Cricetulus griseus: one gene and its partners. The protein of the gene in region 1 interacts with the protein of each later gene in a pairwise test. Links are inferred from orthologs where the notes say so. Each region holds a gene or a part of one and is shown in the gene's direction. Other genes may lie near its edges. The genes, in order: nuclear fragile X mental retardation-interacting protein 2, proprotein convertase subtilisin/kexin type 5 and Fbln5.

Region 1 (3,653 bases):
AGGCCCCTGGGTGTGCTAGGCAGGAGCTATCTAACACTCAGCCATTAAGTTGTAATTCTGGTGTTTCACCCTCCAGTGTAGCTGGAATTAGTGTGGGCCACTGTTTCCTATCTGAGCTTTATTTTCCAAGAGTGATTTCTGGTATCTGAATCACAAGTAGTGCTCTTAGGTAGAATTATTCTGGTTTACTTAAAAGAATGCTTTGATTCATCTTGGTTTGAACATCAACTTTAATTATGCATGTAGCATTGCCCACCTTTAGTTGAAATACAAAAAATTATGAGTAATAAGCCAGAAGATACAGATATTGCTTAACCTATTGAGCTATTAAATGGTGAGGTAGTTCTTGTCTTTGGTCCAGAGTTTCACAAGGGCAAATTTAATGATGATCTGGGTCTCCCCTTCCCCCAATTTTTGTTTTTTGTTGAGACAGGATTTCCGGGATGAACCACTGTCTGGCTTATTTGTTTTTTGAGACAGGGTTTCTCAGTGCAGCTCTGGCCTAGAACTCTCTCTAGATCAGGCTGGCCTCTAACTCCGATCCTCCTGCCACTAAAGGTGTGCCACACAGCAGCTTTCTTCGGTTTTTTTTTTTTTTTTTTTTTTTAAGAAATTTTTAAGGAAAAAAACACCACATAGTGGTCTTGTCTCTTTTCATAGTTAGACTCTTTCTGTGAGAGGAAAAAAAATGTGTTTGAGTCGGGGTCCTAAAATGTAGTTCCAACTGGCCTGGTATTCATTTATGTAGAATATCTAGGCTGGCTTCAAACTCACTGATCCCCCTGTTTCTGTTTTCTCAGTGCTAGGATTGTAGGTATGGCCACAACTCCATGAAAACTTTTATTTGGGAACAGATAGAATTTAGTGGTAGAGCACCTGCTAGAACTACTCATCCCTAAGCAACACAGGAAGTCTGACTTGTATCATAGATTTTTAAAAAAACAGTGCTTTAGCACTGGAATTTTTTTTTCTAACAACTGAGGATTGCGCTTGGATTTCATGTATGTCGGTCAGGAAGTTAACTTCTACTAGGAGGTAATGGCACACTTCTTTAATCCCAGCACTGGAGGGGGTGGGGGCAGAGGCAGGTAGATCTCTTAGTTCAAGGCCAATCTGGTGTATAGAGTGAGTTCCAGGATAGCCAGGGCTACAGAAAAACCCTTTATCAAAAAACCAAAAAACATTTTTTTTAGTTATTAAGAATTGAGGATTTCCCAAAGGACTTTAGAGGTCATAAAACATTTGATGGCTAATTACCATTTTACTAGCAAGTAGGAGTTGTGACCCTAGTAGATCACTTGTAATCTTTAAACTTAACTATCAACAGGGAAGTTTTACATTCAGATACTTGACAATTTTAAAAAATTGGATTCTTTCATTGTGAGCAAGCATTGCATAAGGGTAGAAACCTGTGAGTTCTAGACAGGACAGAGTTTAGATTTCTAGTTCTGTCTCTTTGTGGCCTGTGTGTTACTTTATCTCCCTAGGGCTTGGCTTTTAACCCAAATATAAGAACAATTTTTTTTTTTTAAAGAACAAATTTTAAGGGTTAGAAACATTGGTACATATTTTTTTGTTTAATGTGTTACGGTATGACCTGATATGAAAGTCCCTGGGCATTATAGCTCTCTGTGTTAGATGCATTGGCAACTAGCCATGTAAGATTTTAATTTTTCAGAGGCAGGTGGATCTCTGTGAGTTTGAGACCAGCCTGGTCTACAAGAGCTAGTTCTAGGACAGCCTCCAAAGTCACAGAGAAACCCTTTCTCAAAAAAAAAAAAAAAAAAGCAAGCCAAAGATTTTAATTTTTCACCCCTTTTTGGTGGGGTGGGGGTTAGTACTAGATTTTGAATTCAGTGGTCATACATGCTAGGCAAAGGCCACATAATTTCTTTTCTTTTACATTTTTCTGTGTCTGAACACTTGGGATTTTGCCCAGAGGGTAGCACTGGTTGTAATTGTGTTTGTTTTGATACAAGGTTCTACCCTGTAGCACAAGGTGGTTTCAAACATGCAATCATCTTGCCTTAGTTTTCAGTGTGCTGGAATTGCAGGCAGGTACTATACCCGCCTGGATTGTATTGCATTTAATTAATTGTGAGGAAATTTTTATAATAGCCTCATGGCCATAATGTCTAGGTTTATTCTGTTTAGATAATCTAAAGGAGTATTATGGCATGCTGCTTGAGAGGTCCTGTTCTTTCTAGTTAATTCTGGCTAGTGGCCCAGTAGATGGACCTGATGTGAATTATGTCCTAACTCTGCCTACCAATGAATTCATAATCTGTGATATGGTGCTGACAATTTTCTTTTCATGGTGTTATGAGGTAACAAACCCTACAGCATAGTATCTGGTATTTAATAAGCAATTTCTAGTCTTCAGTACTAATGTGATTTAAATGTGTTTTGTTTTGTTTTTCTTTTCCTTCTGTAGGCTATGGTGAAATAAATGGTAATGCTGGAGAAATATCTTTAAAGAGCCTCAGTTCTGATGAAGCTACTAACCCTATTTCTAGGGTCCTCAATGGCAACCAGCAAGTTGTAGACCCTAGCCTGAAGCAGACTGTAAAGACCAGCACCTTTGGAAAAGCAGGAATTAAAACCAAGAATTTTATTCAGAAAAACAGTATGGACAAAAAGAATGGGAAGTCTTACGAAAACAAATCTGGAGAGAACCAGGCGATAGATAAGAACGACGTAGCAATTCCAAATGGTGTTATAACAAATAATTCAGCCTATATTACTAATGGTTATATGGGCAAAGGAGCAGATAATGATGGTAGCGGATCTGAGAGTGGATATACTACTCCTAAAAAAAGGAAAGCTAGGCGCAATAGTGCCAAGGGTTGTGAAAACCTTAATTTAGTGCAGGACAAAATAATGCAAGAGACTGGTGTCCCAGCATTAAAACAGGGACTTGAAAGTTTAAAGCCTGACTATAGTGAACAAAAAGGAACTCGAGCAGATGGTTCGAAGCCTATTTGGAAGTATGAGACTGGGCCTGGAGGAACAAGTCGTGGAAAACCTGCTGTGGGAGACACACTTCGTAAAAGCTCAGATATTAAACCTGGTTTGAGCAGCAAAAAGTTTGATGATCGGCCTAAAGGAAAGCATGCCTCAGCTGCTGCCTCCAAAGAGGACTCATGGACCTTGTTTAAACCACCCCCAGTTTTTCCAGTGGACAATAGCAGTGCTAAAATAGTTCCTAAAATAAGTTATGCAAGCAAAGTTAAGGAAAACCTCAACAAAACTGTACAGAACTCTTCTGTGTCACCATCCTCATCGTCATCCTCTTCACTATCTACTGGGGAAACTCAGACCCAATCTTCAAGTCGATTATCCCAGGTCCCCATGTCAGCTCTGAAATCTGTTACTTCTGCCAACTTTTCTAATGGGCCTGTTTTAGCAGGAACTGATGGAAATGTGTATCCATCAGGGGGTCAGCCACTGCTAACTACTGCTGCTAGTACTTTAACACCCATCTCTACTGGGACTGATTCAGTTCTTCAGGACATAAGTCTGACTTCAGCAGCTGTTGAGCAAATTAAGTCTAGCCTTTTTATCTACCCTTCAAATATGCAAACGGTGCTGTTAAGCACCGCACAAGTAGATCTGCCCTCTCAGACAGATCAGCAAAACCTGGGGGATATCTT
Region 2 (3,002 bases), on another chromosome or scaffold:
TTTTCTCCTCTGGAAATAGAGTTTCCTTGGGATTCAGATGTGTCATCCCTGACCAAAACCAGTGTATGTTATGTTTGTTGTTTGTAAGTAAAGAAAATCCAAAACCCAAAACTGATACCAGCTGTTTATTGTTTTGTTTGTTTGTTTGTTTCAGACTTTCAATTAGTTTCCAGGTTTCACCTTTCCAAGAACTTTCCTTTCTCAGCTTTTACCCACCAAGAGCAGCTGGTTTGCCAGACCCTTATCTGCACCCCCCTCAGGGTCTGAAGCTGGGCTGACAGCTGAGAGCAAGAGCCCTGTTACATCAATGTTCTTAAATGAAAACAGAAGCATGAGCCTCTTGGGTGCAGTTTCTGAAATGTCAGTTCCAAGAAATAATTTGATAGTTTTCCTGGTTCCTAAGAGGCTCTGAAAGAGTTATCTGGGGCAAACCCTACCAAAAAAAAAAAAATCCTCTTGGGCTAAGGATACAGTTCCGTGATGGAAAGTTACAGAAGTATGTGTATGGGGAGAAATAACGAACCCAGATATTCAAGCTTACTTGAGTCTTTGCTTCTGAGACAGCTTTCCCCTCAAGAAAAACCAAATGGTAGAGGCTGACCCTGACCCAACACCTAAGACTAAGAACTGTAAGACCTGAGTGCATTCAGCACTCTGAAAAGAAAACAACCTCCAAAGGTCCATTGAACATTCTCCTGCCTCAGGAGCTGTGAGCCATGGACAGATTACTTATCTGTCCTTCTAGTGTGTTCATATTTCCTCCAGGGGGAAAGTCTGTGCTGACACTGGTAATGTTGAATACAATAATGATAATACTGTTACTTTAGAGGAAACATTTTTTTTTTGCTAGATGGGCAAAATTCTGTTAGAATAAAATAGAAGTTAAGCATCAGCAAAATAAAAGTGTGTGTGAAGTGTGTGTGTGTGTGCAGGGGTTACTCAGTTGCAGGAGTGCTTGCAAGGTCCTTGTGGAGGGGTAGAAGAACACGAAAGAGGGGCAGGGAAGGGGAGGGGAGGAAGAGCCTACTTTGTATTAAAAATTTGTACATCCAACTGGGCAGATACCTATTCCTCTGGCTGTTTTATACTTTTTGCCTTACTGTATGGTAGGTTAAAAAGAAAAGGTAATAAAAGTAGTTAAGCAACTCAAATCATACTGCCTGAATGAATGAAAATAAAATGAGAAAAATCAACTAAATGCTCAAGCTATGCCATACACTGTTTTGGTGCTGCAACATCCTCAGGGAAGCCCTGAAAAAAGAGGCTTATAAATAAGAAAGGGAAGGGCCCTGAAATTCAATAATTTCAATTACACTATAAATCCCTTGCTAATGGCAGTCAGGATTTTAAGATGATAAAGCATGCCTTTTCTTGCTCAGGGAATGCCATGGCTATTCAAGGAAACCAAACATGTGGTCAGAGAATTTGCCTCCAGAATCCCACCTAGAGTTGAGGCTAATGGATTGGAAAGTCTACTTGTTACACAAAATAGTTCTTGTCTATGACAAGCAAGTCGGCCCAAATAATTTCCAAGGCCACACATGACTAAGAGTCAGTAGGCTTTATAAAAGTATGCTTCATTGGTCTTGAAGGGTGGCACCAGTCTAAAAAACAGTTAAAGAGACATCTCCATCTTTTAAAAAAAAAATTCAGAGTTCTTGTTTAGAAGTAGACACACCACACACACATACACACACACACACACACACACACACACACACACACACACACACACACACACATCTCAGAAATGGAAAAATCACTGAGAATGTTGGACCCTTAGAGACTGGCCCATGAGATAGGGATCTGGGGTCCCTTTGGAATCTTAAATTGACCATTCTAGGAGCATCAGTTGGTTTTATTAAATATAGATTGGGACTCTTGTGGGCCAGATACTGAGTTTTGTAAAGTGGTATACCTCCTAAGAAAACGAAAAAAAAAAAAAAAAAAAAAACCACTGATTCTACCATTTTAGGTTTAGAAAAGAAATGGAGGGGCAGTTCTTTACTTCAGAATCTGATTTTCCCATTTCTGTTTCCTCTTTTCTCTCTTGCTGCTGCCTCTGGGGTGGCCTGGTATCAGAGGAGTGCATCCTTCCAGTCAGCGAGACCGTGCCCTCGGAGCGCACCAAGACCGCCCTGCTGGTGACCTCGGGTGCCATGCTGCTGCTGCTGCTGGGGGCCGCTGTGGTCGTGTGGCGGAAGTCTCGAAGCCGACCTGTGGCAAAGGGGCGCTACGAAAAGTTGGCGGAACCCACCGTGTCATACTCCTCCTACAGGAGCAGCTATCTTGAGGAGGACCAGGTGATCGAGTACAGGGACCGAGACTATGATGAAGATGATGAGGATGACATCGTCTACATGAGCCAAGATGGCACTGTCTACCGGAAGTTCAAGTACGGGCTGCTGGAGGAGGCAGAAGATGATGAGTTGGAGTACGATGATGAGAGCTACTCCTTCCAGTAAACAGAGCCTGCCTTGTAGTCCCCATGGCTCTCAGCCTTGCCTGGGGCTACCATCGCATTGGCTGAGGTTCGAGTGTGTGTGCTTTGTCCTAACTTTGTTTCCAACCTAAATATGTAGGGATGCTGGAGTCTGCTGTGCTGCTCTTGACTAGCTGAGTGCAATGAACAGATCCTGAAAAGCGAGAATTCAAAGGCATTTTCCTCGAGGGTTCGTCAAGACTTTAAACGCAGGAAGTGGAAGTGGAAGATCTGTTGAACACTCTAACATGATTTCTAAAGTGGACGGAACAGAGGACCTGTAAGGATTCTGCTGGAGACCCCTGCTTCCTTCTGGAATTCTGATAGTTGACCCACTAGTGGAGAGATGTAGTGGAGAGTACCAGAGAGTTGTTGGGGCTGGGGTGGGAGGACTCTCCCCTTTCAATTGTGTTTAAGAAGAAAATCTGTAAAGAGCGCGAAAAGGGGCTTGTTGTTTCTTTCACAGTACTTCTGGGGAGCCGAAAGGCCATCTCTCCTGTGAATGCTCAGGACCCATCTA
Region 3 (3,753 bases), on another chromosome or scaffold:
AGTGTCTTTGGTACTTTTGCACTAGATCGAGCGGGTTCCTCTAGAGTTGGTGCTAGAAAACAAGAAGGAGGGAAAGTAGAAGAAGGAAGAGAAGAAGCCGGGAGAAGAGGAGAGAAGAATCCGGGAGAAGAGGAGAGAAGAGAGGAAAGAGGGCTTCCAGGGCCCATGAGTGGCTCACTATTCTTACTTACTTTGAAGGCCAGAGACACTTACTAATTAATGCAAGAAAAGGCCAAGGAGAGCGATGTGAGGGCGGCCAAGGAGAGACGTACCCTTTGAAGTTCTGATCTCATACAGCCTCCCTTCTCCGCTCCTGCCCCACATCCTTGCTTGGGAGCATCACGCACGTCCCAGCCCTTGGTAGTGAGTTCAAGTTCGTGCTTCTACAGGGCGGGATGACACTCCCCGTCGCGCGCGCCCTGCTCCGCCCAGGGGAGGCCGGGCGCCCCCCAGTTCGGCGCACTGCCGGGCTCCCCTCCCAGCGCCGAGCACTTGGCCCTGGCAGACGCCCCAAGATTGTTGTGAGGAGTCTAGCCAGTTGGTGAGCGCTGTAATCTGAACCAGCTGTGTCCAGACCGAGGCCCCATTTGCATTGTTTAACATACTTAGAAAATGAAGTGTTCATTTTTGACATTCCTCCTCCAATTGGTTTAATGCTGAATTACTGAAGGGGGTTAAGCGAAACCAGGTGCTGGCGGCGAGGGCTCTGCAGTGGCTCCCAGCACCCGGCACTGTCCCGGCCCTCCGCGCAGCCCGCTCGGCCCCTCCGGAAGCAAGTCGCCCGGGTCCTGCCGCAGAGTCTGCCTTCCTCGCATCGCCTCTCCTCCCGCGCATCTTGGTCATGCCAGGATTAAAAAGGTAGGTTCGGAGGCTCCAGGCTCGGGAAACCTAACTCCAGACCTGATGGGTGGAAAAATGGCTATGGCTGAGATTCCGCCCGTGTCAGGGCACTGGAAAAGAGTTTAGCTAGTGATGCAATGACACTGTTAATTACAAAAAGCTGCGCCGCTCGCTCAAAGTTCCATCTCGAAGCCTTCGTTTGGGAGTGGGGATTTTTCTAACAGTGTCCGGAGCCAGCATCTCGAGAGAGGGCTGCAGACAACCTCCCTGTGTCATTCCTCTTTCTTTTTTGGAAAGGGCAGCAACTTTTTTGCGCACTTTACAAAATATCACACTACATATTTTTTAAATTTGGGAAACCGCTGGCCACGGCACCAGCTTTGCTGCGAAGGCTGCGGGAGAGAAGCCGAGGGAGTCTCAGAACACTCCTGGCTGCGTTTGCTCTATGTGTGCGATTCACAGAGGGCATGGGACCCAGAAGTTTCGAGCCAATGAACAGTGGACACTGCAGACAGAGACGCATGTAAGCAAATGTTTGCTGTTCTTTGCGGAAATTGCAATTCCAGTCAAATAATCCTTGAGCCTTGAGGAACTTTAAGGATGACATCTGTTCCGCCTTTCTCCAGCGTCTCTTGAAAACATAGCTGTCCTGCACAGATCTACACACTTTCTGTGTGTGTTTGCGTGTGGGAGGGGTGCATGCATGCTAATACAAGCTGAGCCATATTATGGTAAGCCATAGCAATATTGTCATCCTGCGTCCAGACCTGCAGTGTCTGTCAATGACAGACAGTTCTGAGAGTTGGAGGGTCTGTTTTCATTCACTTTCCTTTTTGGCGGGGAGGGGGTATGGCCGACCAAGATTCAAAAGAAAAGCTTTGGAACACAGATTCCCTCTCCGGTATTAATTATGCTTCATTTTTGGAGTTTTTAAGGTTTTCATGACAAGCTACAGCTATTCTTGATGTGGGAGCAGCAGAGTTGGGTACTATTTCCTTCTGGAACGCCTTTCCATTAGCCTGGAGCTTATTTGGCCCCCAGGACCCAGCCACAGCTCTTCCAGGAGGCTGGGCTTGGGGCTGGCTGGCCCTGGGCTGGCTCTAGCCAAAAGGAATGGGGAGTGGGGTAGGGGGGGAAAGCCGGTAGGATTAGCATGCCTTTTCCAGTCGCTCTTGAACTCCCCTGCATATAGCCAGGCTGTTCTGTCTCCAACATAAACGAGACAGGATTTTATAACCACCTGAAAGGAAACTTCATGTGAAGAAACAGGAAAACATTGAAATTCATAATATACAGACTGGAAAATAAATTTGTTATTGTTCTCTCATTCCTTCCAGATATAAAGTCTGGCTCTTGCAAATATCAAAAAGCCCCGGGATTTGGCTCTGCACTTTATAAGGTCAGAGCTGTCGCGAGTGTTGGAGAACCTGGCTCACATAGGCCCTTAGATGAAACGAAAACTTGTCTACTCAGGATTGGATCTGGGACTCCATGAAGGAAGTGGGTTTGCATCTTCCAGTGCATCAGGCTCAATTTTATCTGGATGCCACTTTAACTCTGGGTCCTCTACTTACCTACTGCTGTTTCTCCTGAGCCATGTGACAGGGATGTGAATGAGTTTGTAATCTCCTGAGCACTAATTCTGAGAAGGCGGGGACTATAGAGCCATGGTGTAGGGCAGCACAACAAGCCTCAGACTCCAACCAGGTCAACTAGGTCCCCAAGTTCATGGCCATGCTTCAAAACATCCAAGACCGCCTCCTCTGGGACACCTTCCCTGACTTTGCTGTCCCTCCCTCAGCCTGACTCTTAGCATCCATTGGGTTTTTCTAGCATTCTCATCAAAGGGAAGCTCCATTCCTGGTCCATGCTGCAAAGTAGCCAGCTCAGGTGGTGGGCAATGGGGCCACAGGTCTGTAACTCTTGTCCAGTGTCTATGCTCAAACAGTAGTTGTCAGACAAATACTAGAAAACTGAATAACACTAGTAACCCGCTAGACCCCTGCGTCTGTATGCCTTTTGTATTGTGCTATGTGCATTCACTTGGCTATGTGATGATTCCACGACTCTTTATCCTGCAAAATAGCTCTTGTACCCTGACCTATGTTGTGGTGCACATCTGTAACTCCAGCATCTGGGAGGTAGAGGCAGGAGAATCAAGAGTTCAAAGCCAGCTTTGGCTGCATAGCCAGTTTGAGGCTAGCCTGGGCTGTATTTGAGACCCTGTCTTAAAAAGCAAAAGCTGGCTATGGTGGCCTGTGGCTTGTAATCCCAACTCTCAGGGAGCCGAGGTACAACTGCCACAAATTTGAGGGCAACCTGGGCCATATTGTGAATCGTAGGTCAGCCTGGGCTACAGAGTAAGACCTTGTTTCAAAAATGAAATGGCACCCCAAGCCACAAAGCAAACAGAATAAAAAAGGGGAAAATATGAAAGAAACTCTGTACATATTGAATACTCTCACAGCCCTGGGAGCCACCATTTTGCTTTCTGTTTCTGAGTCTAAAAACTCTGGGTACATGATGTAAGTTGAATTCTACATGATTTTGTGTGAGTCACTTATTTCACAGCATGATGTCCTCGTGGTTCGTCCCTGTTGTCACCTTTTCTTCATTCTGTCTGTATATCTATCTATCTATCTATCTATCTATCTATCTATCTATCTATCTATCTATCCATCCATCTATTTGGGGCATTTGTTACGGTGCATGTGTGGAGGTCAAAAGTTAACTTTTAATACTTGTTTCTCTCCTTCTGTTATGTGGGTCCTGGCCACCAGGTCATCAAATTTGATGACAAGCTCCCTTTCCTGCTGAGCCATGTCATCATCTGCCTTTTTCCACTGTTTACTTTATTTTTTTAAGATAGGATCTCACTATATTGTTCAAGTTAGCCTTGAACTCCTGGGTTCC

Evidence for each region.
Region 2: the proteins of nuclear fragile X mental retardation-interacting protein 2 (region 1) and proprotein convertase subtilisin/kexin type 5 interact in binary tests that used the Homo sapiens proteins (3 or more experiments, as listed by UniProt). The two-hybrid records come from large-scale screens. The link is inferred for Cricetulus griseus from reciprocal best matches to the Homo sapiens genes NUFIP2 and PCSK5.
Region 3: the proteins of nuclear fragile X mental retardation-interacting protein 2 (region 1) and Fbln5 interact in binary tests that used the Homo sapiens proteins (3 or more experiments, as listed by UniProt). The link is inferred for Cricetulus griseus from reciprocal best matches to the Homo sapiens genes NUFIP2 and FBLN5.

What each region holds. Positions count from the first base shown.
Region 1 is NC_048600.1:91,086,027-91,089,679, forward strand, and holds part of nuclear fragile X mental retardation-interacting protein 2, read left to right. Parts: intron 1-2,434; coding exon 2,435-3,653. UniProt on the Homo sapiens protein: Binds RNA.
Region 2 is NC_048596.1:43,663,881-43,666,882, forward strand, and holds the end of proprotein convertase subtilisin/kexin type 5, read left to right. Parts: intron 1-2,082; coding exon 2,083-2,465; downstream 2,466-3,002. UniProt on the Homo sapiens protein: Serine endoprotease that processes various proproteins by cleavage at paired basic amino acids, recognizing the RXXX[KR]R consensus motif. Likely functions in the constitutive and regulated secretory pathways.
Region 3 is NC_048598.1:104,199,298-104,203,050, forward strand, and holds the start of Fbln5 (fibulin-5), read left to right. Parts: upstream 1-1,307; coding exon 1,308-1,363; intron 1,364-3,753. UniProt on the Homo sapiens protein: Essential for elastic fiber formation, is involved in the assembly of continuous elastin (ELN) polymer and promotes the interaction of microfibrils and ELN. Stabilizes and organizes elastic fibers in the skin, lung and vasculature.